Saccharomyces cerevisiae S288C: one gene and its partners. The gene in region 1 interacts genetically with each later gene. Each region holds a gene or a part of one and is shown in the gene's direction. Other genes may lie near its edges.

What was found.
Region 2: mutations in NUP170 (region 1) and APQ12 together harm fitness more than expected from each alone (negative genetic interaction), as found in Saccharomyces cerevisiae (4 studies listed by BioGRID, with this or other methods).
Region 3: mutations in NUP170 (region 1) and NUP2 together harm fitness more than expected from each alone (negative genetic interaction), as found in Saccharomyces cerevisiae (5 studies listed by BioGRID, with this or other methods).
Region 4: mutations in NUP170 (region 1) and POM152 are lethal when combined (synthetic lethality), as found in Saccharomyces cerevisiae (5 studies listed by BioGRID, with this or other methods).

Annotation. Positions count from the first base shown.
Region 1 is NC_001134.8:71,783-81,845, forward strand, and holds NUP170 (Nup170p), read left to right. Parts: upstream 1-3,476; coding exon 3,477-7,985; downstream 7,986-10,063. Other genes in the region: YBL081W (uncharacterized protein), read left to right, coding at 84-1,190; glutamyl-tRNA(Gln) amidotransferase subunit PET112, read right to left, coding at 1,288-2,913; ubiquitin-like protein ATG8, read right to left, coding at 8,596-8,949; isoleucine--tRNA ligase ILS1, read right to left, coding at 9,261-10,063. UniProt on the Saccharomyces cerevisiae protein: Functions as a component of the nuclear pore complex (NPC).
Region 2 is NC_001141.2:275,545-279,687, forward strand, and holds APQ12 (Apq12p), read left to right. Parts: upstream 1-2,178; coding exon 2,179-2,595; downstream 2,596-4,143. Other genes in the region: protein kinase PKP1, read right to left, coding at 1-748; GVP36 (Gvp36p), read left to right, coding at 981-1,961; TED1 (Ted1p), read left to right, coding at 2,882-4,143. UniProt on the Saccharomyces cerevisiae protein: Involved in the regulation of lipid homeostasis in the endoplasmic reticulum, thereby impacting nuclear pore complex biogenesis and localization, and nucleocytoplasmic mRNA transport.
Region 3 is NC_001144.5:795,891-803,147, forward strand, and holds NUP2 (nucleoporin NUP2), read left to right. Parts: upstream 1-1,539; coding exon 1,540-3,702; downstream 3,703-7,257. Other genes in the region: 40S ribosomal protein eS25 RPS25B, read right to left, coding at 1-9; SGD1 (Sgd1p), read right to left, coding at 3,807-6,506; VRP1 (Vrp1p), read right to left, coding at 6,763-7,257. UniProt on the Saccharomyces cerevisiae protein: Functions as a component of the nuclear pore complex (NPC).
Region 4 is NC_001145.3:524,255-533,817, forward strand, and holds POM152 (Pom152p), read left to right. Parts: upstream 1-3,549; coding exon 3,550-7,563; downstream 7,564-9,563. Other genes in the region: ATP-dependent RNA helicase ECM16, read left to right, coding at 1-3,245; DPI35 (Dpi35p), read left to right, coding at 7,865-8,773; ribosome biosynthesis protein RRB1, read right to left, coding at 8,909-9,563. UniProt on the Saccharomyces cerevisiae protein: Functions as a component of the nuclear pore complex (NPC).

The DNA of each region.
Region 1 (10,063 bases):
TTATTATTTATCATTTGGGTTTCGGTTTTTTGTAATAATTTTCTTTTTTTTTTTTGGCTCTATTTCACTAAGACATCGTATATATGCCAGGCCAGATAATCAGCATTCCGTTTTTGTCGCAGAACGAGGACATGGATAAATACTTGTTGGAGTACCGCAGTTTGAAGCTCCTTCATCAGTCCAGTAATTCCTTCCAGTCTCACAATGCGCCCTCCCACCAGTCGAACTACCACCCCCATTACAATCACATGAAATACAACAACACTGGTAGCTATTACTATTACAACAACAACAATAACAGCAGTGTAAACCCACATAACCAAGCTGGTCTACAATCCATTAACAGATCTATTCCATCGGCCCCGTACGGGGCTTACAACCAGAACAGAGCTAATGACGTACCATATATGAATACCCAAAAGAAACACCACAGATTTAGCGCTAACAATAATTTGAACCAGCAAAAATACAAGCAATATCCCCAGTATACGTCCAATCCAATGGTTACTGCACATCTGAAGCAAACGTACCCTCAACTGTACTACAATAGCAACGTCAATGCTCACAACAACAACAACAACAGCAACAACAACAACAACAACAACAACAACAGCAACAACAACAACAATCTTTACAACCAGACGCAGTTCTCCACGAGGTACTTCAACTCGAACTCCTCTCCCTCGTTGACTTCTTCCACTTCTAACTCATCCTCTCCATACAACCAAAGCACCTTCGAATACATTTTGCCGTCAACTTCGGCAGCTTCCACAAATTTATCGTCGTCATCATCAAACAACTCTATGCACACCAACCCAACCACTGCAACATCGACATCCGCCGATTTAATCAATGATTTACCCGTGGGCCCCACGTCCAGTTCGCTTATCTCGGATCTACATTCTCCACCAACTGTATCTTTCCTACCAGCAAGCCAAACCCTGCTCATGTCCTCCACCACATCTAGCTCTATTGGCACCAACATAAACCCACCGCAACATTCACCATCCCCATCGCAAAGGGAGGATTTTTCGACGGCACCAGTGAACATGTCTTCGTCCGCATCACTCTTGATGAATGATTCTTCTTTAGGATGGGGGTCTAACCACATGAACGTATCTTCATCCTCTCAACCAGCATCATCAAGACCCTTTGGCATTTGGAATACTGACATGAGCGTTTGGAGTTGAGATGTTTACGTATATTTTTATGTATATTATTATCATTAGTATTACTATTATTGTTATTATTTATGCACGGTTCCTATTTACACGCGGCGTTTATATTTTACCATTGAATATTTAAGATCTCTTTGAATTTTTTCTCGAATTCGTTTGCCTTTATACGTCCCTGGCTTCGTCTCATTCCTTGTCCAATTAGGAATTTTAAAGAGGACTTCTTTTTACCAGTAACCAGGTTCCGTATAAAAGTGTCATCTGTGTGCTGTGCAATGACATCATTACAGAGATCCATCAATTCTTGAGGGTCGACCTGATTAATCGCATGCAATTCAAATTTCTCGATTAGTTTTGAAAAATCTGGAATAGACAAATCTTGGCAGTTACTCTGCTCGAAATTTTCCAATATGTGAAACAGTAACATTTTACCACTAGTTGCGGATATAACCTCTTCATGCAATAACTTCAAAAACTGGGCGAAAACCGGAGGAGGCAAAATTTCTTTTGCTTTGGCCAATGGAATTTGTAGCTTGTTCAAATCTCCCAAGAATTCATGGATTATCCAATTCGTAGGTAATTTCGCGTTACTACGTTCACCAGCAAGCTTGGAAAATTCACGGAAGGTGTCTAAGTAGTACGATCTCAACGCCTCATGATTGTACATATCGTTTTGGTTACTATTATAAGTCAGAATCTTGGCGTCCTTCAATGATAATTGATAGGGTTTCTTCATAAGAATTCTCATTATATCGTCCGGTAATTGGGGCATCAACCCTCTCACACCACTGATAACGTCTGGTGCGAGGTTGATATACGGCAATTCTGGATCAGGCATGTACCTGTAATCGATCGTGGTTTCTTTGCTTCTCAACTTCACCGTTGATGAGCCTGTCCAGCCCCTTGTTTCTGGCTCCATCAGTGAGCTAGTGTCACCCACAGAAATCAACTCAACTTGCCGCTGATATTCGTACTTGATTGCATTGATGATGGAACTAGTATTGGGTAAATTCTTCAACTCAACGCGTGCATATTCATTAATTGAGAGGTTAACGTCCACTCGCATGGCGCCCGTTTCCAGGTCCCCAGAGGAAATGTGCAAATGACGTACCAAATTCTGATATTTTTTAATAAACGCTCTAACCTGTTTAATATCACTGAAATCTGGTTTAGTTACCAATTCGATAAGCGGGACGTTCGACCTATTTAAATCAACCAAAGTAATAACGTCTTTATCTGTCTCTGTATAGTGTGACTTCCCCGTGTCCTGCTCTATCTGCAACTGTAAGATACCGATTTCCTTGGCTGATTCATCGATATCATCCAATTCCTTCGACAGATTGATCTTCCCACCCCGAGCAAACGGCCTGTAGTGCTGCGTCAGTTGATAGCCTTGAGGTTGATCTCCATAAAAATAATGCTTCCTATCAAACTGAGATATGCTATTCACTTGAGAACCCAGTGCCAAGGATAGTTTCATGGCAAACAAGATTGCTTCCAGATTCAAAACCGGCTGCGTTCCCGGTAGAGCTATGTCATAATAACTAGTATGATGGTTTGGTGCATCCACTAGAGATGTGGCGCTATTCGTTGATTGTGAAAAAAGCTTGTTTTTGGTGTTCAATTGCGTATGAATCTCCAATCCACACTTCAATGCATATTCCGGCCTGAAGGGTGCACCGTGACTATGTATGGCTTTGGTTCTGGCCAAAGAATAAAAACGTGCAAGCCGCAACATATCTAGTTCCTACTCTGGTCTTTTTGGACAGGAATGCTAACAATAACACTATTACTAGGTGGTACGACTAAGTACATCACGTCAAGCTTATTACTACTATAACTACTATTATCATAACAAAAGGGAAAACTAAACCCTATCTAAACAAGGGTTATTTAAATTTTTAACAAGGGCATACAACAAAAAAATAATAAACCTAAAATCAGAAAGTTAATCTTTCAGGGCTTTTGAAAGTGGAATTAACGTCTCTAGTAAACGAGGATTGTTTCCAATGAGATTCTAAGACCCAAATATCCTCTTCTTTACTTTGAAATGTTTGCAATGGACCATGATTATGGATGTGTTCTTTGTGACACGCTTTCAATGTACTCTATATCGTGTTGCACGAAGGATTGTTACTTTATTTGTAAAAAAAAAAACAATTTTTCGAGATGGGACATTAATATTGTAGAATTCTGAACATATTAGTGAACAGTTCTTTCGGAGAATTACTGGAACCTAGGATCTGACAAGCGGACAAAAAAGCAGAGTGCGTTTATTACTTCTCTTTCTAGCGGTTGTTCATGTTTCAAAGTTTTTTCCACAACAATGGGCCCGCTGCTGCCGGTGAAACGTTTTCAGATAGCAGATCGTACCCTTTAACGAATCATCAAGAAGTACCCAGGAATGGACTGAATGAGTTGGCCTCATCTGCAACCAAGGCGCAACAACAACCTACACACATATTAAACTCATATCCAATTACCGGGTCCAACCCACTCATGAGGGCAAGCGCAATGGGGGCGACCTCTGGCAGCATCAATCCTAATATGTCCAACATGAATGAGCACATTCGTGTTTCCGGGATGGGGACTTCTAAGCCCCTGGACTTAGCGGGAAAGTACATTGACCATCTACAACATAAAGATAGTAACACTCCCGTACTCGACGAACGATCTTATTATAACAGCGGGGTAGATTATAACTTCAGCAGAGAAAAAAACGGCTTAGGAGCGTTTACTCCATTTGAAAAGCAAGATGTGTTCAACATTCCGGACGAGATTTTGCATGAATTTTCCACTTCACAGACAAAAACTGATATGGGTATTTTCCCGGAGTTAAATCGATGTTGGATAACTATTGATAATAAACTGATACTCTGGAATATTAACAATGACAATGAGTATCAGGTGGTAGATGATATGAAGCATACCATTCAAAAAGTCGCCTTGGTAAGACCTAAGCCAAACACCTTTGTGCCTGCCGTGAAGCATCTACTTTTGATAAGCACGACAATGGAGCTTTTCATGTTTGCTATTTCCTTAGACAAAGCCACCAACGAACTCAGTGTATTCAATACACATCTATCAGTCCCTGTACAAGGCATTGATGTAATAGACATTGTGTCTCATGAAAGATCGGGTAGAATTTTCTTCGCAGGCCAAGCCAGTGGCCTGAATATCTGGGAGTTGCACTACTCAGGTTCCGATGACTGGTTCAATAGTAAATGTAGTAAGGTCTGTCTGACAAAGTCTGCCCTATTAAGTCTTCTACCTACTAACATGTTATCGCAGATTCCAGGTGTTGATTTTATTCAGGCTTTGTTCGAAGATAATTCTAACGGTAATGGCGGATTTTCTCAAGAGACCATCACGCAACTAACTATTGACCAACAAAGAGGAATCATCTATTCATTATCCTCCAAATCCACCATTAGAGCATACGTAATAACAGAAAAATCACTGGAAGGACCCATGTCAATTGAGCCTGCCTACATCAGTAGGATCATAGGTACCACGACGGCAAGGGCAGCACCGATTTTGGGCCCCAAATACCTAAAAATTGTCAAGATAAGCTCTGTTGCACCAGAAGAAAACAACAATTTGTTTTTAGTTGCTTTAACAGTAGGTGGTGTGCGTTTGTACTTTAATGGTTCCATGGGCAGATTTAACATCGAAGCTTTGAGGTTAGAATCGATCAAGTTCCCCCCTAGTTCTGTAACTCCTGAAGTCATCCAACAAGAATTACTACATCAACAACAGGAACAGGCGAAGAGAAGCTTTCCTTTCTTTTCAAATCTAATGTCTTCCGAACCAGTCCTCTTAAAATTCCAAAAGAAATCATCTGTATTACTAGAGACTACAAAAGCAAGTACAATTATTTCCCCAGGCATATTTTTTTCCGCTGTGATCAAGTCATCTCAGCAAACTCATCAACAAGAAAAAAAAGAGAACTCATCTGTTACTGGAACGACCGCTACCGCAGGGTCTAAAACTGTCAAACAACAGCCAGTTACTTTACAACATAAGCTTTTCGTTAGTGTTCCAGATTATGGTATCTTGAAAACACACGGTAAGTACGTTGAAAATGCCACGTTTTTGGAAACTGCGGGCCCAGTTCAACAAATTATTCCCTTATCGGGGTTGTTTAATGCAACGACAAAGCCACAAGGATTTGCTAACGAATTTGCGACACAGTACACATCAGAAACTTTAAGGGTAGCAGTTTTGACGAGCACTTCTATCGAAATTTATAAATATCGTACTCCTGATGAAATTTTTGAGGATCTAATCGATAATCCGCTGCCATTCGTCTTAAATTATGGTGCCGCGGAAGCTTGTTCCACTGCATTGTTTGTTACTTGCAAATCAAATAAATCTGAAAAATTAAGATCTAATGCCCTGACTTTTTTAACTATGGGTATTCCTGGCGTTGTTGACATCAAACCTGTCTACAACCGTTATTCTGTATCTACAGTATCCTCTTTATTGTCAAAGCCCACTTTATCAACCGCAACAACTAATCTCCAACAATCAATAACTGGCTTTAGTAAACCCTCCCCTGCAAACAAGGAAGATTTTGACTTAGATGACGTAATATTATCCCCCAGATTTTACGGTATTGCATTATTGATTACCAGACTACTTCGAGATATTTGGGGGAGACATGTCTTCATGACTTTTACAGATAATAGGGTGACATCCCATGCTTTCATTTCTTCTTCTGATCCAATCACTCCATCTATTAATAACCTAAAAAGTGATGAAATTTCACAAAATAGGAACATAATATCAAAGGTTTCTATTTCCAAGGATTGTATCGAGTACTATCTATCTTCAATTAACATTTTAAATGAATTTTTCATCACTTATGGTGATTCAATTTCCCAAATATCAGCTCCCTACGTATTAGCGAACAATTCTAACGGCAGGGTTATTGATAAAACAGAAGAAGTTGCAAACCAAGCGGAAAGTATAGCGATTAATGCGATGATCAAAATGGTACAGTCCATAAAGGAAGGTCTATCATTCTTGAACGTTTTATACGAGGAAAGCGAAGTCGAAGGATTCGACAACCAATACCTTGGTTTCAAGGATATAATCAGTTTTGTAAGCTTGGACGTCCAAAAAGATTTAGTCAAACTAGATTTTAAAGATTTATTTGCTCCAAATGACAAAACAAAATCATTAATTAGAGAAATTTTATTATCCATCATCAATAGGAATATCACCAAAGGTGCGTCGATAGAGTATACCGCAACAGCTTTACAAGAACGCTGTGGATCATTCTGCTCTGCAAGTGATATATTAGGATTTAGAGCCATTGAACATCTTAGAAGGGCTAAAGAAATTGGCTTGCGTAACTATGATTCTCTAAACTATCACCTGAAAAATGCTACTGCTTTACTTGAACAAATTGTGGATGATCTTTCTATCGAGAAATTGAAAGAAGCTGTATCAATGATGCTGAGTGTAAATTATTACCCAAAATCTATTGAATTCTTATTGAATATTGCCAACTCTATGGACAAAGGCAAACTAGCTTGTCAATATGTGGCAAATGGATTTTTAGAAAATGATGATAGGAAACAATATTACGACAAACGTATCTTAGTTTATGACCTAGTTTTTGATACTTTAATAAAAGTAGACGAACTTGCCGAAAAAAAACAGTCATCAAAAACTCAAAACCAAATTTCGATATCGAATGACGATGAAGTGAAACTGAGACAAAAAAGTTATGAAGCCGCCCTAAAATATAACGATAGATTATTCCACTATCATATGTATGATTGGCTTGTGTCTCAGAACAGAGAGGAAAAACTATTAGATATTGAAACTCCATTCATACTCCCTTATTTAATGGAAAAGGCAGGTAGTTCATTGAAGATATCTAATATACTCTGGGTCTATTATTCAAGAAGATCTAAATTTTTCGAATCTGCTGAAATTCTTTACCGTTTAGCTACATCGAATTTTGACATCACATTGTTTGAAAGAATTGAGTTTCTTTCACGCGCCAATGGTTTTTGCAACAGTGTGTCACCATTAAGCCAGAAACAAAGAATTGTACAATTAGCTAGTAGGATCCAAGATGCATGTGAAGTTGCTGGTATTCAAGGTGATATATTGTCGCTCGTGTATACAGACGCAAGAATAGATTCAGCCATTAAAGATGAGCTGATCAAAACTCTAGATGGTAAAATATTGAGCACAAGTGAGCTGTTTAATGATTTTGCTGTACCCTTAAGTTACCATGAAATTGCCCTATTCATTTTCAAGATAGCAGATTTTAGGGACCATGAAGTAATTATGGCCAAGTGGGATGAGCTATTCCAATCTTTGAGGATGGAATTTAATAATACCGGAAAGAAAGAAGATTCAATGAACTTCATCAACTTACTGTCTAATGTACTGATTAAAATTGGTAAAAATGTTCAGGATTCTGAATTCATTTTCCCCATTTTCGAACTCTTTCCCATTGTCTGTAATTTTTTCTACGAAACACTACCTAAGGAACATATTGTATCAGGGTCGATAGTTTCTATATTCATAACAGCGGGTGTTTCTTTCAACAAAATGTACTATATTTTAAAAGAACTAATCGAGACATCAGATTCCGATAATTCCGTATTTAATAAAGAAATGACCTGGTTAATTCACGAATGGTACAAATCGGACAGGAAATTTAGGGACATTATTTCCTACAACGATATCATTCACTTGAAGGAATACAAAATTGATAATGATCCAATTGAAAAGTACGTTAAGAACAGCGGCAATAATTTGGGGATTTGTTTCTACAAAGAATAAAAATTCATGTTCGACATATAGATAGCAGGGTAATGTACGTGTATATTTTAATGTAATAAAGAGGCCTTACTAGACGGTAAAGTTAAGAATATCGAGTGAACTTTTCCTTAAGATAAAGGTAAATATAGTCGAGTATTTATTTATTATTCTTTTCCACTATACAGTATTTAAAATTCTGTAAGAAATTGATTCTACATACATAAGACAAACGAACAGGTCAGAGAGAATCAGATTTTTGGTTAGCAAGAATACATTTTGGAGAAGAAAGACATTAACTCCACCTTACTGTATCATCTTATTTGCTTTTTCACTCCTTCCTAATATTTTTTTTATTTTATTTTGAATTTCTTCCTATTTCTGATGCATTGAACAGATCGTAATCTGTAAGTAAATACCATAACGTGCTCACATTTGTCTCCAAATACTGGTGAAATCTTGGCTCCGTTGTGTACAAAACTTCTTAATGAATATATATATATTTTTCCCTTATTTTATCTTTTTTTTTCGAATTTTTTATGTAAACATTCTTATACTGGAACAATAGATGGCTAATGAGTCCCTATAATTTCGATTTTAGATGTTAACGCTTCATTTCTTTTCATATAAAAGACTACCTGCCAAATGTATTTTCTCCTGAGTAAGTGACATACAAAAACCCGTCCTTATCCTTGTGTTCTTGATATATGGCAGACATCAACGCCGCAGTAGGTGGCAAAGTATCATTGACAAAAATGAAGATGGCCTTCTCAGGGGGTAGCATAATTCTCTTTCTTATAACATAAACAAATTGCCCTACGGTAAGGTCAGCAGGAACTAGATATTTACGCTTATCAATCTCTGGAATATCTGACTTTTCAGCTTTTTCGCAAATCACAGGTATCCTATTCTTGAACCTGTCAGCAATCCTCTCCGACTCCGCCTTCCTTTTTTCAAATGGATATTCAGACTTAAATGTAGACTTCATGTCTCTAGTAATTATTTTATTATGATTTTCTCAACTTTACAATTATTAGATTCTCTTATCAATCCCCTCCTCAACCTTTAATGGTTCCCCTTTTTGTATTTCCATAATTATACCAAATATTTTTGCCGCCGCCGAAAATAACCGGCCTCCGGGTGATGATATATCATGTGCTATGATTTCACGGGTATTATACAACATTATCGGTGGAGACAGTTAGCATTACATGACTCTAACTTAAACGTAAACTTACACATATACATCTATATCACTTCGAGTAGAGAAAAATTTGTACGTATTTATATGAGTTGTTTTCATAATTTGAACACTTTTAATTTGAAAATGGTGTCATTAATAGATTGTTCTTCATCACCAATTGGGTCTGTCTTTGAGCCGTCATATTTGGCAATGTCGGATCTACAGGTCTTGCTTAACATATCAAAATGTTCTTTGACAATGGCTTCAAAGTCGATAGTATCTTTAACTAATTCGTACTCCACTAAAACATCGTCGGTGGCTTCCAAACCACACTTCTTTCTCAATTTTTGGATTCTGTTGACCAGCTCTCTTGCGAGACCTTCACTCTTTAGTTCAGAGTAAATATTTGTATCCATGATGATTAACACGTCTTGGTCGGTTCTGGTTTCTTGTCCAGCTTGGACAGCAGATTCTGGCAAGCCTCTAATAGCATTCAAATCTCCTTTAACCAGTTCAATACCGGCAACCTCCAACTTTCCGCTTTCCAAATATTCCCGTACTTGCTCAGAAGTGACTGATGGTAGGGCATCTTTAACCTTCTTTGCGTCTTTTTTCAACTTCTTACCCAATACAGGCCAATCAGCAACTGCTTTATACTCAACACCATATTTTGCCTCATCGGAGGTGATAACAACATCACGAACATTTAATTCCTCGATAATGTAGTTTTTCAAGGCTTCTACATCCTTCAAGTATGATTCATCACTGTGAAGGATGACCAAAGTCTTCAATGGAGTTTTTAAGGAAATAGTTTTCTTTTCACGAATGTTTCTACCCAAATCGATAACGGATTGCATTCTAGAAACTGCAGTTTCGATGGCCTCGTCAAAGTATTCTTTCTTGACCACTGGGTAAGATA
Region 2 (4,143 bases), on another chromosome or scaffold:
GTGATGGCGGGTGAATTAGGACCGGGGTCCGCTGAGTGTTGAACTTCACAAAGCATATATCATTGACATAATCAGAAACGTGCTTGATCAATTGTGCTATGGGGAGGTCCCGGTGCAAGATTCCAATCATCCTTTTGTTCGTGTCACCTTTGTTCTGTGCCATCAACGACAAATAGTGCGTCACAAGCAGCTTCATCGTGATTCTCTCCTTCAGGTGGAAGTTCAAGAACTGCGAAATTTGAAACTTTGGGTAACACGATTGGATTTCCTGAAGACCTTTTGCCAATACCACAATGGCGTCCTCGTGGTCGTCCAGCAGTTCTGTGAACTTGGCCTGTATCTTGGGAGGATTGTGCAACTCGTACGGGTATGCGATTGATAGCAACGTTTGCAAGCTTTTCAAATACAAAGAGTTGGTTCTCTCAATATGAGGGTTGATTACCGCATTATACGGTAGCCTCTGAATGGCATTAAGCCGTTTACACGTCAATGAAAGCAACAGGTTGATTGTCTTGATCGTCAGCATGTACTCCTCCTTCTTGGTCAGCGGCGGCCTGTATTGCAGGAAATACTCGTAGTTTAGGGGCGCAATTGGTTTACTAGCGTAGTCCTGTATCAGCAGCTCAATGTTCGACCTAATCTTGTAATGCTGGTCGAACGACAGTTGCGACAGCAGCTCGTGTGAGGGTCGCTGGCGATGTGCCCAGCGCATTCCCCCACATTTCCATGAACGCATAATCTTCCACATACTACCGTGAAGGCGTCTTGATACCACGTCTTCCAGTTATGGTCTTGACTCACCAATGTTCTCAGTTTAATGTTGTTTGCTTCATACTGGCAGACATTTTCCCTTATTACCGTGAGAAGCGAGCGGTGGATTAATCGGGATGTCAAAAACAAGAAAATTGCAACCTTCTTCACCTATAACCTATATGATTTGTAGGCAGAGGAGTGGAATAAGCAACAAATCATAGTCATCAATGTCGTTTAATGCCTTCGCCAGCTCTTTGAGCAAGAAATTACAGGAAATATCCACAAGTGTTTCCGAAAAAACCCAGGAATTGCCCAGTTTGGCGCAATCCACCCAAAGAATGGTCCAGGAACGTTTGGGCCAGGTGACGGACATCTCCCAATTGCCAAGAGAGTACACAGAGCTGGAAGATAAGGTTGACACCATCAAACTGATTTACAACCACTTCTTGGGTGTAACTGCTATCTACGAAAACGGATCGTACGATTACCCTAAATACATCAACGAATCCGTCAACGAGTTTTCAAGAAGCGTGGCTTCCAAGTTGACAGAGTTGACTCATGCTACATCTGCGTCTGAGGCACAAAACATCTTAGTTGCTCCAGGCCCCATCAAAGAACCCAAGACGTTGAACTACGCCCTCAGTAAAGTGGCTTTGAACTCCAGTGAATGTTTGAACAAGATGTTCCCCACCGAGGAACAACCCTTGGCTTCGGCACTCTTGCAATTCAGTGATGTGCAGGCTAAGATTGCTCAAGCTAGAATTCAACAAGATACCTTGATTCAAACCAAATTCAATAAAAATTTGAGGGAAAGGCTCTCTTTTGAGATCGGTAAGGCCGATAAGTGCCGCAAGGATGTCCATTCCATGAGATTAAGATATGACGTGGCAAGAACTAACTTGGCAAACAACAAGAAGCCAGAAAAGGAAGCTTCCTTGAGAGTCCAAATGGAGACTTTGGAAGACCAGTTTGCTCAAGTCACTGAAGACGCTACTGTGTGCTTGCAGGAGGTTATTTCTCACGCTAACTTCAGTGAAGATTTGAAGGAATTGGCCAAGGCTCAAGCTGAGTATTTTGAAACCTCGGCTGGCCTAATGAAAGAGTTCCTATCCAACTCATTTGCGGAAGAGCCGGAAGCAAAGCCTGAGGTTGCAGAAGAAGAAAAGCCACAGACAGCTATCTCTATGAATGACGAAGACGACGCTTAATAGCCGCCCTGTTCTTGTCTTTCTCTCTCCTTCTCTATATATATATATTTACTTAATACAATATCATATTCTCTAGTGTCGTACGAATATTATCATTTATTTGCTGGCTTTTGTAGTGAGTATATTTTTTGTAGAGAAAATATAATTACTGGAAGAGAAAAAGCTACTGAAAAAAATTTCGTAACAGTCACCAAAGGGCAAAGTGAGCAACCCAAAAATGGACGCTACTCAACCGCAATACGAACTATCCGTAGTAACACAATGCCTAAAGTCTGCCATTGACGTCATCCAATGGTTGATTCCTACTATTACTAAGTTCAGCCAATCACACCCGTTAGTTTTCCAACTATTGTTTATTTTCTTCACATTTTATGTCTTTTACAAGTTGTTGATGAACTTCATTACTCTGGTCAAAAGATTCCTGTATTTGACGTTGGTAGTAACATGTATCGGTATTTATATGCGTGGTTCGCAGCAGTTTTTGACTGTGGACCTGTTGAATTTCTACAATTTCGTCATGTCAAATAGATACTACGCATTTAAAATTTATACTCTGTTTATTAATGCCCTGGAAAGAGAAATCAACACTGTTTATCATTTGGCGCAGATGAAAATGGAACAGTTGCTTAAATAGAGCGAAACGCCTCTGCTTACTCGGAACATCTTAAAGTAATTACATATCTTAATTTCTAAATATTCATATAGATAAAGAACGTTTTTTTTGCTAGATTCCTCCCCTAGTCACTATCAAATATTGAGCTATTTTTGGTGACTTGTGTTTTCCAAATTATTCATTACAATTGTGACTTGATTTCTGAAGTTTTAAGAAAAATTGCAAACTAAGTTATTACAAGCGATTTATCCGGTCGCGATTGAAGAACTGAAAACAACAGCAGCAGCATTGTACCAAGAATCCCAAGATGCTCAGGTGTGCGGTCAAGAAGTTTGCATATTTTGCCACCTTCCTCACTATCGTCGCTAATATTTACATCTATACTTATCCATCTTTCCATCCAGAACAGTGTTCATGGAACTGCTCTAACAAGAACGCACCACTACAGAAAGATTTGACTTTTGTGGACAAAGTGAAGAATTACTTCAGTGATGTTCGAGAGCAATGGCATGGTAGCCATGCCTCTGCAGGTAACGATGAGGATATTCATATTTTGGCCTTCGGTGATCCTCAGATTAAAGGCATCTGGCCAAAGACGCCATATGTGTCCCGATTAGATACATACGGTAATGACTACTATCTTGGTCACATCTATGATATGATGCAGCAGAGACTGAAGCCTCAGGTGGTGACTGTTATGGGTGATCTTTTCTCCAGTCAATGGATCGGTGATTCCGAATTCCATAATAGAACGAAAAGGTATATTAGCAGAATTTTCAAAAGAGACCCAACTTCTATTGAAAATATCAAACAACAGAACCTCGATGAGAAAGGTCAATATAAGGCGAATTGGCCTGAATGGGGAGACCGTTTTAATGAGATTTTAGACAATGTCAAGGAAAACGAGGCTGATAATCAAGAACTTTCTTTTGGGTTTGGTTATGAAAATATCCACTCATGGAATCCAGACTTGGAAGACTTTTTAATCATCAACATCACAGGTAATCATGATGTAGGTTACTCAGGCGACGCGACTTATCAACATATGACAAGGTTCCACGACCTTTTCGGTAAGGACAACTATTGGATTGAATACGAAACCAACACTACCCATCCTTGGAGAATTGTAGTGTTGAATGATCTTTTACTAGAAGGTCCCGCTTTACAACCAGAATTTGTTGAAGCTACTTGGATCTTTTTAAACCAACTAAATGAACGTAAATTCAATGGTAGTACTGTTTTGTTGACGCATGTTCCATTTTACAAGCGTGAAGGGTTATGCGTTGATGGCCCAGACACTAGGTATTATCCAGATGCCCATGCCCCAGAATCATATAAATCTGGGCTTTTGAGATCCCAAAATCATTTGAGTGAATCCGTTTCAAATCAAGTTTTGAATATGATATTTGAAAATGGGAAGCCAGGTATCATATTAACTGGTCATGACCATGAGGGCTGTGAAACAGTTTATAATAAAAAATCTACATCTACTTGGGAAGCGACTAAAAATATCGAAAGTGACGTTTTCGTTAAAGAAATCACAGTTAAGTCTATGATGGGTGAATTTAA
Region 3 (7,257 bases), on another chromosome or scaffold:
TGGAGGCATGTTATATTATGTTCTGAGACGTAAGAAAGGGTGAAAATTGATGTTAGTGTCAAAAATTATATTACAAAATACGCAGAGATATTCTAGTTCCTTTGATGAATGAATCTTTCAGAAAAAAAAGTCAAAGCAAAAGCAAAATGGCCTGCAGACTAAACTGTATGGTGGTCTTGGAATGATAAAGATCTGTTTAATAGATTTAGTAGATACAATAGCACATCTCATTACCCAGTTATGATTGACGTCATTCTGAGTTACAATGATCTTAGCGACCTGTGCTCATTATTTGCTCCACTAATTCTAATTTTCCTCGCCTTTCATATTTCGTATCTTTATTCTATATCCTAAAATTTTTTTGGCAAATCCCAGATTTGGCTTTGATTTTGGCATCGGTTCGGTTCTTTCAAATATCTTCTTCCCGTGAATCAACTGCACATACCTTAATAACTAGTTCAGTTTAGTGCTCTGTCTGAGTGACTGTAATAATAAATTTTACAAGCCACTTCTCATGACATATATTGGTAAGTAACTTCATCAATACTAATTAGTCTTTGCCGGTTACCCATCTGGCCCCTGACTTGCGATGCTTAGGAAGTTCCATACTCGCGGCTCTTCCCAACAGTAGCACATCCGTGAAACTTCTGGCGCTATTCATTATGCAGTACCAGGACAAGAAGTTAAAAAAAAAGCTCTGTTACAAGTTCAATGGTGGTGCAAGGATTGAAGTTATTATCCAGGAGGCACGGATGCAAAAGATAGAAGACAAATTAATTTCCTTAAAATTCAAAATGCTCATTATTGTCACGCTGTATGAGCATTTGGTGAAGATTTCACTGGGAAATGTTGCAATAATTTGATAATCGTTCGTATTGGATGAAACTGTAACATCATCTGTTTATTAAGTATCCGTGTTATTAGTATATCATCACATACGGTGTAAGAAGATAACATAAAGATTGAGAAACAGTCATCAAATATAATGGAAGCTGAAATGCGAGGATTGATGATGTAATAGGACAATAAAAAATATAAGACGGAAGAAGAAATAATCGTAATAGCATTATGTAAAAATAGGGATTTGAGGATTCCTATATCCTCGAGGAGAACTTCTAGTATATTAACTATACAGAATATCATAGCCTTGATCAACAATAAAATCCCAGCAATTATCAAATTATCCATCCATTTCTCAGTGACATTCTCACTAGATGAGCGTTTTTGAGAATAATGCTAACATTTGGTAAGGTATGAAATAAAATGCGATATCCTCCGTAGTTGTCGTCCGATATAGTGTAACGGCTATCACATCACGCTTTCACCGTGGAGACCGGGGTTCGACTCCCCGTATCGGAGATATATTTAATATTTTTTTTGATTTGACTTCAAATGAGAACTATTTTTTTAAAGCATCGTGTGGTAAACAAGCTTCCACCGAATGAGCTTAAGAAAGCGCAAACAATTTTCAACCTGACAAAGCATACATCATTTTTCATACAAGTCCTTGTTAAGTAACTCAAAAAAATCATTAACGAGATGGCCAAAAGAGTTGCCGATGCGCAAATACAGAGAGAAACGTACGATTCTAACGAGTCTGACGATGACGTGACTCCCTCCACTAAGGTTGCGTCATCTGCTGTGATGAATAGAAGAAAAATTGCCATGCCAAAGCGCAGGATGGCGTTCAAACCTTTTGGTTCTGCAAAATCGGATGAAACCAAGCAGGCTAGTTCCTTTAGCTTCCTGAACCGGGCGGACGGCACTGGAGAAGCTCAGGTTGATAATAGCCCTACCACAGAAAGCAATTCCAGACTAAAAGCATTGAACCTCCAGTTCAAGGCTAAGGTTGATGACTTAGTTCTAGGCAAGCCGTTAGCGGACTTGAGGCCCCTTTTCACCAGGTACGAATTATACATAAAGAATATCTTAGAAGCTCCCGTGAAATCTATCGAGAATCCAACGCAGACAAAGGGAAATGATGCTAAACCTGCCAAAGTAGAAGATGTCCAAAAAAGTTCCGATTCTTCATCTGAAGATGAGGTTAAGGTGGAGGGACCCAAGTTCACAATAGATGCTAAACCGCCTATTTCAGATTCCGTTTTCTCATTTGGCCCAAAAAAAGAAAATCGCAAGAAAGATGAAAGTGATAGCGAAAACGATATAGAAATCAAGGGCCCTGAATTTAAATTTTCTGGAACTGTATCAAGTGATGTATTTAAGCTGAATCCAAGCACCGATAAAAATGAAAAGAAAACCGAGACTAATGCTAAACCATTTTCATTTTCTTCGGCCACTTCAACTACTGAACAAACGAAGAGTAAAAATCCCCTTTCATTGACAGAAGCTACCAAGACCAATGTGGACAACAACAGTAAAGCCGAGGCTTCCTTCACTTTTGGAACAAAACATGCTGCGGATTCTCAAAATAATAAACCATCTTTTGTATTTGGTCAAGCAGCTGCAAAACCATCGCTAGAAAAGAGCTCATTCACGTTTGGTTCAACAACAATTGAAAAAAAAAATGACGAAAACTCAACCTCTAACTCAAAACCTGAAAAGTCTAGTGATAGCAATGATTCAAACCCATCTTTTTCCTTTTCCATACCCAGTAAGAATACACCTGATGCATCTAAGCCATCTTTTAGTTTTGGGGTCCCAAACTCTTCCAAAAACGAAACTTCAAAACCGGTATTTTCGTTTGGTGCAGCAACACCATCGGCCAAAGAAGCTAGTCAGGAAGATGACAACAACAACGTTGAAAAACCTTCCTCTAAGCCTGCCTTCAATTTAATATCTAACGCTGGTACCGAGAAAGAGAAGGAAAGTAAAAAGGACTCAAAGCCAGCTTTTTCATTTGGCATATCAAACGGAAGTGAAAGCAAAGACTCTGACAAACCCTCTTTACCCTCTGCGGTTGATGGTGAAAATGACAAGAAAGAAGCAACAAAACCTGCTTTTTCGTTTGGAATAAATACAAATACTACTAAAACCGCGGATACTAAAGCTCCAACTTTTACATTTGGCTCCTCTGCACTCGCTGACAATAAAGAGGATGTTAAGAAACCTTTTTCATTCGGTACCTCCCAGCCTAATAATACTCCATCCTTCTCATTCGGAAAAACAACAGCAAACTTGCCTGCTAATTCTTCAACATCTCCTGCTCCCTCTATACCATCGACGGGGTTCAAATTTTCTTTGCCATTTGAACAAAAAGGTAGTCAAACAACTACAAATGATAGCAAGGAAGAATCAACAACAGAAGCAACTGGAAATGAGTCGCAAGATGCAACCAAAGTAGATGCTACCCCAGAAGAATCAAAGCCAATAAACTTGCAAAACGGTGAGGAAGACGAAGTGGCTTTATTTTCGCAAAAAGCAAAATTAATGACATTCAATGCTGAAACCAAATCGTACGATTCAAGAGGCGTAGGCGAAATGAAGCTTTTGAAGAAAAAGGACGATCCTTCTAAAGTGCGCCTACTTTGTAGGTCTGACGGTATGGGTAATGTATTACTAAATGCAACTGTTGTAGACTCCTTCAAATATGAGCCTTTAGCTCCCGGAAATGATAATCTCATTAAAGCTCCTACTGTTGCGGCTGATGGGAAACTTGTAACTTATATCGTCAAGTTTAAGCAGAAGGAAGAAGGCCGCTCATTTACGAAAGCTATTGAAGATGCTAAAAAAGAAATGAAATAAGAGTAAATACAGTTAACAATTTTAAATAGAATAGAACCCTCATATTTTGTAGCTCAAGGTTATAGTTGAGCAAATAAAGAATACAAAATTTATTCCAAAAAACACTACGAATCTATATTTTCCAGTTCTTTGTCTATAATAGATTTGGCAGCTTTTGAAGCCCAAGCCAATCTTCTTTCATCCCTATCAAAAGCTTTATCTCCTTTCTTTCCTGCAAGGAAATTATGGTATCTAAATTTCTTGTTAATAAACCACTTCAAACCTTTGAGAATGAATAGCATATTTTCCGATTTAACGTTCTTCGTTAAAACATCGCGCAAATAATCATCGGAGTAGATTATACGCTTATTTCCACTTTCATCCATCTTGAGTTTCTTCTCACTTTTTTTAGCTACAGTTAAAAATAACTGAAATAGCAATATCTCCATAAATAACATCCCTTCTGTGTTTAATCCACCCATAAATGGAACATGCTTGAAAACATCTAATTTCAAAATGTCATTAGCAAGCAACGATCCAAAAAATCTCCCCTGATTTGAGATGCGAAGCAGTTTTTCTTTATCATCTAAATCATCTTCTTCGTCAGTATCGCTTTCAGAATCGAATTCTTTGTCTTCAAATTTTTTTATCACATCCCAGAATAGGAATTGAAACGACTTCGATAAATGGCTATACCTTTCACATATTTTGTTCGCGACCAATGCGTAGTAATGATTATAACCATTGGATCCACTATCAGCCAAAAGACAATGTAAAACAATTCTTGGAATTTCAAGAACTTGCTTATTTTTCAAGCTTAACTTTTCAAGTTTACTAAATGCATCCAGGTAATCTTGTGCAGACATAATACTTATAAATATAGCCCTTCGAATGTCAGTATTCATACGCTGTTGTCTGGCGATAATATTCCAATCTGGAATATCATCAAGAAGATCATCCTCGATTGAAATTTTAGATTTCTTGGACTTGCTGGCATCATTTTCATTATTGATCGAAACTTCAAAAGCATTTTCCATGTTTCCTCGCCAAGAAGCACCAACCAGCCACCATTTCCCCTTGGAATCAATGTTTTTAATGTCTTCCAGAGAAACCTGTAAAGGCTCCCAAGAAGAAGAAGAATTCAAAATGCTTTGCAAGTTTTTCTTTAATGGATGATGATCAGTCGCCAAAATAGAAGGCTTTAACCTGTTGTTTTTCAAGTCAGACATGGTATCCATTAAAAATCTCAATCTTGGGCTCTGCTCTTTTAAATTCTTGGCGTTCTTCAACAGTTCTGATCGTATATCTCTCAGGGCGGATGGATCATCACCCCGGATCAGTTGTCCTGAAATCGATATAATTCGTAAAAGTAACTCAGTAGTGAATTCATTAGGATCTGCTACAAATATTCGAATAATGTCATAGATTAAGCGACACGAAACAAATCCAAAATTATAACAATACGATAGTAAGGTTGCAATATTGATGCATATTTTAGAGGAAATTTTGCTCTGCTGATCCTTTAATATATTTTCCATTTCCTCTTCGTAATGATGCAGAAATGCCTCTACCGTTTTTTGAATGAAAAAAGCACCCACCTCAATACCTCTTAGTTTTGATAATGTATACGCAAGAGCAGCATAATTCATTATAAATCCGTCCAACAACTTCTGATTTTGGCTTATAATATTCAATATCCCTTTCGTTAACGATTCTGTAACGTACTGCCTAGGCAGGGAATCATACAATCTGTTTAAATCAGTGATAATAATAGTAATATTGGAGTCTGAAAGCTTATTCAAAGAGGAGTTGACCTTCTTGCTAATTTCAGACAAAGTACTATTGTTTTCACTATCATCCAATTTCTTTCTCAGTGATGGGGGAACATAGCTCTCTACAGATTGTGTGGGAGCTACATAGGGATTTTCCTTTTCTCTTCTATAATTATCATCCGAGTCCGCAACGCTGTCGTTATCAGATTCACTAAGCCCATCTGAGTCTTCAAAATCAGAAGCTGAAAGATCATCATCCGAGGAAAATGCTTTCTCGCTTGCTTCATCATCTTTTCTCATAGAATTAGTTTCTGTGGCAAAATCTCCATACTCTTCGTCACTTTTGCCATAATTTTCAAAGTATTCCAAACCTTCAAGAAGTCCACCAATAGCATCAAATTCATCTTTTGCATGTATAGCCTTCCTTTCTCCTTTCAAGCCCAACTTTTTTGCGTAATATTGCATGTCCATCTCGTCCCTTTCAAACGCTGATCTGTCTGAAGGGGCCAGCGGATAACTCACAAAATTCTCATTTGTATCTCTGTTACGAATATGTTTCTTTTCATATGAGTTACCTTTTATTTCTCCCGAGTTTTCAGCTCCTTGTATACCCTTTGCTTTCCGTTTCAATGATTCTAGTTTTTTCATTGTTTCTTCCGCAGACATTGCCTGCTCACCGCTTTCTTCTGCTACTTCATCAGTAAGCACTTCGTCACTATCCCAGTTTTCATTACTTTCTGATTCATCTGAAGAAATCGGATTTTTACCGTTAGCCTGCTTGCCTACGTTTTTCACACCTGCATTAGCACTCCTCTTTTCGGACGTTGGTGCTGATTTTAGCCGGCTGGAATTGATTTCTCTAGTTGATATAATTTTACGTTTCTTGTCGGCCCGTTCCATCTTTCTCTTTTCTTTACGGCTTAAATGTTTGCCATTTCCTCGTCTTCTCTTTTTTCCTTCTGAAATAGAAAACCTTTCATCTTGACTGTAGTCAAGAGTCTTCAACTCGTCCAAAATAACGCCTGGAATTCTAATACCATCTGTTTTTTGCATTGCCTCAATATTCTGCAGCTGTGGACTGGCTATCTTTAGTTAAGATGAGGCTTCGTAAGTAAGTTCAGTAGTCTTGTAAGCTCATCGCATTTTTTTTTTTTTGCTGGATTTTATATTTTTCACAGCGAAAAGGACGGGAAGCTAAAAGATTAAAAAATAAATATTGCAGATACCATATGTAATTTAGTAAAATATTTTTATAAAATATTATTATTTTCTTGTTCTTCAGTGATTTATTGTAACCATGGAGAAATGCTCACGTAAATAATGTTAAGTCCAATGGCACACTACTACCCTTTCCACTTGGATACAGTTTTGTTTTATTTTGAAAGGGACGTGGCTTAGGCATTTGTGACACATTAGTCCATTTAAATCTTGAATCATCTATAACAATTCTTTCATTTCCAGATTTGGCCCCAACGATAGAATTCGATCCCCCTATCGTATACCTACCTACATCAACATCTGGTTGATTTGTATGCGTATTATGCTTGTGTTGCAGCGTCGATCCACCTGTAGAAAATAACCGTTGTTTAAGGTTTTTACTGGGGCTATTAGAGGTACCGGTATCCATCGTAGATGGACTTGGTGGTGGGGGTGGCGACTTAGTGGGGTTCTTCGAAATTGATTCAGTTTCGGTACGAACGGAAAGTGTAGGCGCAACAGGAGGAGGTGATGGTATTGATGTAGACACGGATTGCTGAGGCAGACTTGGTGCACTAAATGTTGGCAATGGCGGAGCAGCTGCAAC
Region 4 (9,563 bases), on another chromosome or scaffold:
GCGAAGATGATTTCGAGGCTTCATTTGGTAGTATGCCGAAACCAACGGACAATGAGGAGAAGAAATCATCAGGTTTTATTGATCATAGACCAGCAAAATTTGGTGGATCTGGTCTTAGCTTTGGGTTTAGCAATATAAAAGTCATAAACAAAGAAAGCAAAACTCCGAAGAAGAAATATAATTGGAGACAACGAGTAGAAATGGAAGAATTGAAGAAGCATGGGAAAGAAGATGAAATGGATTTCGACACGACATCTGAAGATGATGACGAAGAGGAGGATCAGGAAGAAGAAGACAAAATGCATCCTAGTGAAAACCCACTCGAAGAAGTTGAAAGCGCAGATAGTGAAACTGGCTCAGAAAAATTTGACCAAAATGATGTTGCTAACGAATTCAAGGATTGGGCCAATCAAGAAATAAAAAAATTGGAAGGTAGAGATCAAGAGCTAGTTACTCCCACTTTGAACATCGATTATAAACCGATAATTAGAAAGGAAGATTTAGATGATGGTCTCCAAGAAGCTTATGTTCCAATAAACGAGAATTCCACCCGTAAAGCCTTCTATGTTGAAGTTAGCAGATCAGATGAAATTCAGAAAGCAAGAATTCAACTACCAGTATTTGGTGAAGAACACAAAATTATGGAGGCTATTCACCATAATGATGTAGTGATTATTTGTGGTGAAACGGGGTCAGGTAAGACTACACAAGTCCCACAATTTTTATATGAGGCTGGGTTTGGTGCCGAAGATTCTCCAGATTACCCAGGAATGGTGGGTATCACTCAACCAAGAAGAGTGGCCGCTGTGTCCATGGCTGAACGTGTAGCTAATGAATTGGGGGACCATGGTCATAAAGTAGGATACCAAATTAGGTTTGACTCTACCGCAAAGGAGGACACAAAGGTCAAGTTTATGACAGATGGTGTCTTGCTACGAGAAATGATGCACGATTTCAAGTTGACTAAATATTCCTCCATTATCATAGATGAAGCACATGAAAGAAACATTAACACTGATATTTTGATCGGTATGCTTAGCCGTTGTGTTCGGTTAAGAGCTAAACTACATAAGGAGAACCCGATCGAGCACAAGAAGCTAAAACTCATCATCATGTCAGCTACATTAAGGGTATCAGATTTCAGCGAAAACAAAACATTGTTCCCCATAGCGCCCCCTGTCTTACAGGTTGATGCAAGGCAGTTTCCAGTCTCTATTCACTTTAATCGTAGAACTGCATTCAACTATACAGACGAGGCTTTCAGAAAGACTTGCAAAATTCACCAGAAACTTCCTCCTGGCGCTATATTGGTGTTTTTAACCGGTCAGCAGGAAATTACACACATGGTAAAAAGGCTAAGAAAGGAATTTCCTTTTAAGAAAAACTCCAAGTACAACAAAGATTTAGAAACACCCGTTTCTAAAATGGGTATCAATTCAAAAACAACAGATTTGGAGGCTGAGGATATAGACTTCAGTGTACAAGTTATCGATCAAGATAAGTTCAAGAGCGCGATAAGATACGAAGAAGATGAAGGTAACAGTGGAAACGGTGAAGATGAGGAAGACGAAGAGGAAGAAGGGTTTGAAGAAGTCCTAACTGAAGGGCAAACAGCTAACGATCCTTTATATGTCCTTCCACTGTATTCTCTATTACCAACCAAGGAACAAATGAGAGTCTTTCAAAAACCTCCTCAAGGTTCTAGGCTTTGTATTGTTGCAACAAATGTTGCAGAAACATCGTTAACTATACCTGGAGTTAGATATGTTGTTGATTCCGGGAGGTCTAAAGAGCGTAAATATAATGAATCAAATGGCGTACAGAGTTTTGAAGTGGGCTGGGTAAGTAAAGCTAGTGCCAATCAAAGAAGCGGTAGAGCAGGTCGTACTGGACCAGGCCATTGTTACCGTTTATATTCGTCTGCTGTTTTTGAACATGATTTCGAACAGTTCTCTAAACCTGAAATCTTAAGAATGCCAGTGGAGAGCATCGTGTTACAAATGAAGAGCATGGCCATTCATAATATCATTAATTTTCCATTTCCAACTCCTCCAGATAGAGTTGCCCTTTCCAAGGCAATACAATTACTGCAATATTTAGGTGCTCTTGATAATAAGGAGATGATTACTGAAGATGGTAAAAAAATGAGCCTGTTCCCACTTTCACCCAGATTTTCCAAAATGTTACTTGTTTCTGACGAAAAAGCCTGCCTTCCTTATATTGTAGCAATTGTTAGTGCCCTTTCGGTGGGAGATCCTTTTATCAATGAATTTGAGTTGGGAATAAACGAAATTTCTAGAAAACCAAATCCAGATGAAAATCTAGATGATAAGATTAGAGAGCACGATGAATCAACACCAGGTATGGATCCTGAACTGAAAAAGGAATTGCGCAGTAAATTCTATAAAAGCAGGAGTCAGTTTAGTAAATTAGACAAATTTAGTGACGTATTCCGTTTATTAAGTGTTGTAAGTGCAATGGACTACGTTCCAAAGGAACAAAAAGAAATATTCATGAAGAAAAATTTTTTAAGAGGCAAACTAATGGAAGAAATAGTAAAATTGAGGAAGCAGTTAATGTATATCATCAAGTCCAACACTTCAAAAGAAAATATTGCCGTAGTAATTAGGAATGAAGACTTGAAAAGTGATATTCCAAGCGTCATACAAATAAAACTTTTAAAACAAATGATTTGCGCTGGTTTTGTCGACCATGTTGCCGTAAGAGCAGATGTTTTATTTCCAGATGATGCTAAGATAACCAACAGAACTTCCATAATCAACATTCCTTATATTCCTGTTTTGGCCACGAGAACACCAAATATCGAGGACTGCTTTGTCTATATCCATCCGACTTCAATTTTAAATAATTTGGGGGAAATGCCACCCAAATACATGCTCTATTATTCCTTGCACCTTGGTGGAAATAATAAAACAAGGATGAATACTTTATGTGACATCGCAAGCACCCCCTTAGCGAACATAGCAAGAAAGGGACTTCTTTTGACATACAGTAAACCTCTGACTGGTCAAGGCTTGAAGACCGTTAATTTATCACCTACGGAACGGTATTGTTATGTGGTTCCTAGATTTGGATCCACAGTTGACAACGATCTCAAGATTGGTTGGGATTTAAATCCTATAGCAGTGCATCAGAAGAAGCAAAAAGGCCAGTGGACAGTCATTAAGTTTATCACCAGAAAGGGCTTCCAGACCATCACAGGTGAAGAGAAAGAAAAAAAATAATGCGCTGGTATTATAGAAATAGAGTTTCATTATATAAGAACATATAGGAAGAATACATTATTCCTATCTAGGGCATCAAATAATTGCAACCACTTAATGTTAACTTCCTTCATAATTCAAAACATTATGTTCTATAGCACTATGTATTTTATGTCATTATATACGTAGTCAATAACTTTATACGTTTTTTTTATTGAACAAAAGTAAGAATTGCTTAAGACATAATAAGAGGAAACTCATCGAACCAATTCAAAACGGATTATAGATTTATCATACCAGATACGTTTATCAGGAGGCTTGTATAATGGAGCACAGATATAACGTGTTTAATGATACTCCACGAGGGAACCATTGGATGGGCAGTTCTGTGTCAGGATCACCACGTCCATCTTATAGCAGTCGTCCTAATGTAAACACAACACGACGCTTCCAATATAGTGACGATGAGCCCGCTGAGAAAATCCGACCTTTACGCTCGAGGAGCTTTAAAAGTACTGAAAGTAACATAAGCGATGAAAAATCAAGGATATCTGAACGTGACAGCAAAGACCGCTACATTAATGGTGATAAAAAGGTAGACATTTATTCACTGCCTCTAATATCAACCGATGTTTTAGAAATTTCCAAACAAAGGACATTTGCGGTGATATTGTTTTTAATAATTCAATGTTATAAAATATATGACCTGGTAATACTTAAATCGGGGTTACCGCTTTCGGGTTTACTGTTTAAGAACTATCGATTTAATTTCATATCCAAGTATTTCATTATAGATTCCTTCTTCCTGTATGTTTTACCATCCTTTAACATTCCTAGGTTGACTTTTAAGCCATGGGTTGTTTATCTCCAGATTTTAGCTATGCTACTATTGAACATTTTCATATCAAGCGATCACGAGTTCGTTTTGATTTCATTAATTATGACCACATGGAGAAAACTTTATACGAAAGAATTAAGTGTAACAGGTTCAGCCATTAACCATCATCGTATTTTTGATTCTTCCGCTCATTTTAAGGGTGCTCTAACAATCAAGATCCTACCTGAAAACACAGCTATGTTTAATCCTCTTCATGAATCATATTGTTTGCCCATGGATACCAATCTTTTTAAAATTAACTCAATTGACGTACCCATCAGAATAAACTCAACTGAAGAGATTGAATATATCGAGTTGGAATATAGAGATCTTTACACAAATTCGGTAGAGTTACGGTCTTTGAGTAAGAAAGACTTCAAAATCATCGATAACCCCAAATCCTTTTTAAAAAAAGATCAGTCAGTTCTAAAGTCACATTCAAACGATTTTGAAGAAGGCAGTACAATTCGTTATTTGGCTGTAACTCTTCAAGATATTGGCTTTTATCAAATCAAAAAAATTGTTGATTCAAAAAAACTGAATTTAAAGATCCATCAGTCACACTTGGTTGTACCCTACTGTCCAATTGCATCTATTACTGGAACTGGAAGCAATGATAGATGTATTGGCGATTCAGATAATGTTTCTTTTGAAATTCAAGGTGTGCCCCCAATGAAATTAGCATACTCTAAGATCGTTAATGGTCAAACTTTTTCATATGTAGACTCCAGCTTGCAACCAGAATATTTTGAGTCTCCTTTGCAGTCAAGCAAATCCAAACAAAGTTTTACTCAAGGAGAACTAAACGATTTGAAATGGGGAAGAAACCAACCTGTTAATATTAATTTAGACTCTTCCATTACCCAGGACGGCAAATTTGCATATAAAATTGATAAAATAACTGATGGTCTGGGAAATGTCGTGGATTTTACATCTCTCCCTGAAGAATTAAAAAAGCGCTATGATCTATCTTATAATTTCAATGTTCATGAGGTTCCACGTGCAGCGCTAGAAGAAAGATTTGATCCAAAGTCACCCACAAAAAGGTCTATTGCCATCGTGTTTGAAGAAATCAAAAACTGGATTTCAGACATTCCATATGTTATTAGCCTATCCTATACTGATGCACAAGACAAGTCGAAAAAGATAATGAATGTTACTACAGATTCTTTGACCAAAGTGTTGCAAGCGGATCTTCCGGGGTCATATAACTTAGAATATATTGAATCTAAGTTTTGTCCAGGTGAAATTGTGGGTAAATCAAACGTTCTTGTAACTATGCCAGTTGCACCTACTATGGAAGTTAAATCATTTCCAATATTGGACCAGTGTGTGGGACAGGTTGGTCTAAACTTTGAACTATCTTTTACTGGGGCTCCACCATACTATTATAACACTAAAATCTATAAGCTTGAAAACGGTGAAAGAAAGTTATATGATGCAAAGAGATACACCTCTGAAGGTACGAGAAATCGCTTCAGCTATAGTCCACCTAAAGAAGGTAACTATGAAATCGTGTTTGATACTGTTTCTAATAAATTATTCACTGAACCAATCAAATTGGAACCTGTAAAAGAATATACTTTCAAGACATCAATGAGGGTGAAACCAAGCGCATCACTAAAATTACACCATGATTTGAAACTCTGTTTGGGTGACCACAGCAGTGTCCCAGTAGCACTAAAAGGCCAAGGCCCTTTTACGTTAACATATGATATCATTGAAACTTTTTCTAGCAAGAGGAAAACTTTTGAAATTAAAGAAATAAAAACCAACGAATATGTCATTAAAACACCAGTCTTTACTACTGGTGGTGATTATATTCTATCTTTGGTTTCTATCAAGGATTCTACCGGCTGTGTAGTTGGACTCAGCCAACCAGATGCTAAAATACAGGTGAGGAGAGATATTCCATCTGCTGCATTCAATTTTTTTGAACCTATCAAAGAAGCTAAAATTAAGCACGGTTCTGTCACTGAAATTCCGCTCAAATTAAGTGGAGAGGGGCCATTCACCGTTAAGTTTAAACACATGGATTACGATGGAAACATTGTGAAAGAATTTGAAAACAAATTTCAGAATAGTTATAAGCCCGCTTTGAAAGTAAGTAAAGAAGGGCTTTACCAATTGGTCGATATTCGTGACTCAAGTTGCCAAGGTAATGTGATTTACCGGAACAGTCTGTATAAGGTATCTTTCTTGGAGAAGCCAAAATTTGCAATTCAAGACAATCATCACATTACAAAAGTAACGGAAAATTTATTCTCTAAAGAAGAAGTCTGTCAAGGGATGGAAGGTACGGTTGATTTGGCTCTATTTGGTTCTCCACCATTCATATTAGAATATGATTTGATGGCACCCAACGGTCATATTTCTACAAAAAAAATTCAGGTGGCAACCAAATACGCTTCACTGAAACTGCCTAATCAAATTCCTGGAGAGTACATAACTACTATTAAGGCCATCTTCGATGGCAATTATGGTGAAAGCGACATACATTTTAGAGAACATCAGTCGGAGCTCATAATCAAACAGACAGTGCACCCCATTCCAGACGTCGCCTTTGCTGATGGTGGTAAAACCTTGCGTGCATGTGCTGCTAATGTAGATCAAATCTCATTTTTGGAACCAATAAATTTGAAATTTTTACAAGGCGAAAGCCCATTTTCAATCACCTTTAGCGTTTATCACGAGAGTACCAGTAGGACAGATCAGTATACCATTGACAACATTGACTCAGAGAACTTTTCATTTGAAAAGTTATATGAAGGGATGAAGTTAGGTAACCATGCCATTACTATTGATTCTGTTGTTGACGCAAATGGTTGTGTTAACAGCCTCATATCTGGACCGCGTAATCAAATTCTTGTGTCAATTACTGATGCACCAAAGATACATATATTAGATCCTTCTACCGAGTATTGTGTTGGGGACTATGTTGCATATCAATTAAACGGTGTGGCACCTTTCATGATTAAGTATGAATTCAACGGTATTCCACTAAAATCTAAGGAACGCAGCTCCCAATTTGTTAGATTAGCATCTGAACCGGGCATTATATCTATCACTTCTTTACAGGATTCATCATCACAATGCATTGTCGACTTTACGAACCCTAAATTAAAGAGTGAATTTGATGACTTATCTTTAAACATACATCCTATTCCTTCCGTAACTGTTTCTCAAGGAAATTACGTTACTGAGGATATCCGCGAAGGTGACCAGGCTGAAGTAATCTTTTCGTTTGAAGGTACCCCACCATTCTCACTAACTTATGTAAGGACAGAAGAGACTGATGGAAAACACGGCAAAAGGAGGTCGCAGGTTGTTGAGACGCATAAAGTCACTGATATATATTCTCATGAATACAAGGTAATTACAAGCTTGCAAGGTACCTACGAGGCGATTGAAATTACAGATGCTTATTGTTTTGCCAAAAATGATCTTTTTTTCAATAACTAAATATTACAAGAAAGTCTGATGAAATTTTTCTTTCCCGCAATATTTTTGTACAATTGTAATGTATAATATATCTCTGTACATCAGTATTAAAATACTTAAGAAAGCGAAAAAGACGCCTGTATTGTTTGTTGTTCTTTTTCTTCAAAATTATCAAGACGCTCGATTCAATTATCTTCGCTCATAGTAACTCGAAAGAGTGTAGGTGAATGAATAGAAAAAGAGAGCGCTGAGACCTTTGTCCTTTACGGTCTATAGAGGTGTGTTAAAAGCAGACTTTTGAACATCCACAGAAATTGGCTCAATGACCTATCCGAAAAGAATACCTATAAATGCGTGGTCTGAAGTTCATAGGGTGGCAAGGCCACTAATTATTACTTTCGACGCATATAATACACTATACGCCACAAAACTTCCCGTCATGGAACAATACTGCATTGTTGGGCGTAAATATGGTATCAAGGCGAATCCTTCGACTTTAACAAACAATTTTCCACACGTTTTTAAAAAACTGAAGGAAGACTATCCCCAATACGGAAAATATTCTGGTATCAAGCCCGAACAATGGTGGTCCATCTTGATTAGGAACGTCTTCGCACCAAACGAAATTCCCGATGAGATGATAAATGAAATATTAATGCGGTTTGAGGGCTTCGATTCGTATTTTGTTTATCCAGATTTGATCAAATTTTTAAAGGATTTGAAGTCAAGACATCCTGATGTTATCTTAGGAATAGTAAGCAATACTGATCCAATTTTTTACAAATTATTAAAGAATATCGGATTATTTGAGACATTTTCCGGTCACATTTATTTATCATATGAGCTTAATCTCGCCAAACCTGATAGAGCAATATTTCAATATGCGCTTGACGATATTATATCTAAACAACCTCATTTACTCGAAAAGTACACCAGGGAGGAAATTCTACAGCATTGCTTTCACATCGGAGATGAATTAAAGAACGATCTCGAAGGGGCAGAAGCTGCCGGTTGGACTGGTATACTGTTAGATAGAAATGATAAATACGGGTTTCTTTCAAACTCGATTAGTAAACCAATGCGGGACGAATACAAGCTGTCAATTGATAAAATAGATAATAATTCAATAAACACTTGGGAAGCCAATACTAAGCAAACTGACACGTTACAGTTGAGTGAAAGAAAGTACGTTGTTTCGAATCTTGAGGTTTTAGAGGAACTCTTTCCCTGAGCGCCTAACGTTACAGTAACAAATATGTATGATAGATATTATTCATATCCGCCAGTAATATTTACTATATCTTTGAATGGGTTTGTTTATTAATAATCTACTATGTGTAAATATATGATCCAAGTATTATACAGTTTAGACACTGATTGTTTTCCAGACGTTCAAACCGTCAGTACCGGTACTTACTAAACAACCTGGGATTTGCTTATGCCATTTGACATCTTTAACTTCCTTTTGCCAGTGAACAAACAATAATTGTGGTGGAATTTCTTGTAGCTCTTTTGTTTCGGCGGCCTGTTGTTTAATTTCCTCATCGTCAGCTTCTACAGACAAATCCCACAAAGTCACAGTATTATCTTCTGAGCCTACCGCAACGATAGACTCATCTAATGGGTTGAATGCAATGGAAGTAATGGCTCCCTTATGGAAGTCATATTGAGCAACCGGTTGGACGGCGTCAGCATTACTTGGCGTAAACTGTCTTAAATCCCATACTCCCCATGTACCGTTATCGTCACCGCTTGCTAGCAAGTAACCAATTTTATCACTCCAACTTATGACATTTACGTCAGTATTAGAAGCTTTAACAGAGATAGCAGGTTTATGTTTTTTTGATCTTGTGTCCCAAATCCTTATATATCCATCACATCCTGCGGTTGCAAAAACGGTGGATTCAGTGCGAGACCACTGGATATCTTCTATGGATTTATTGTTTGAAACAGTAAATGGTTGTTTATCAGTCACCCATCTCGATGTGTGCCTTTGGGTAAAATATATTTGTCCTGAGCAA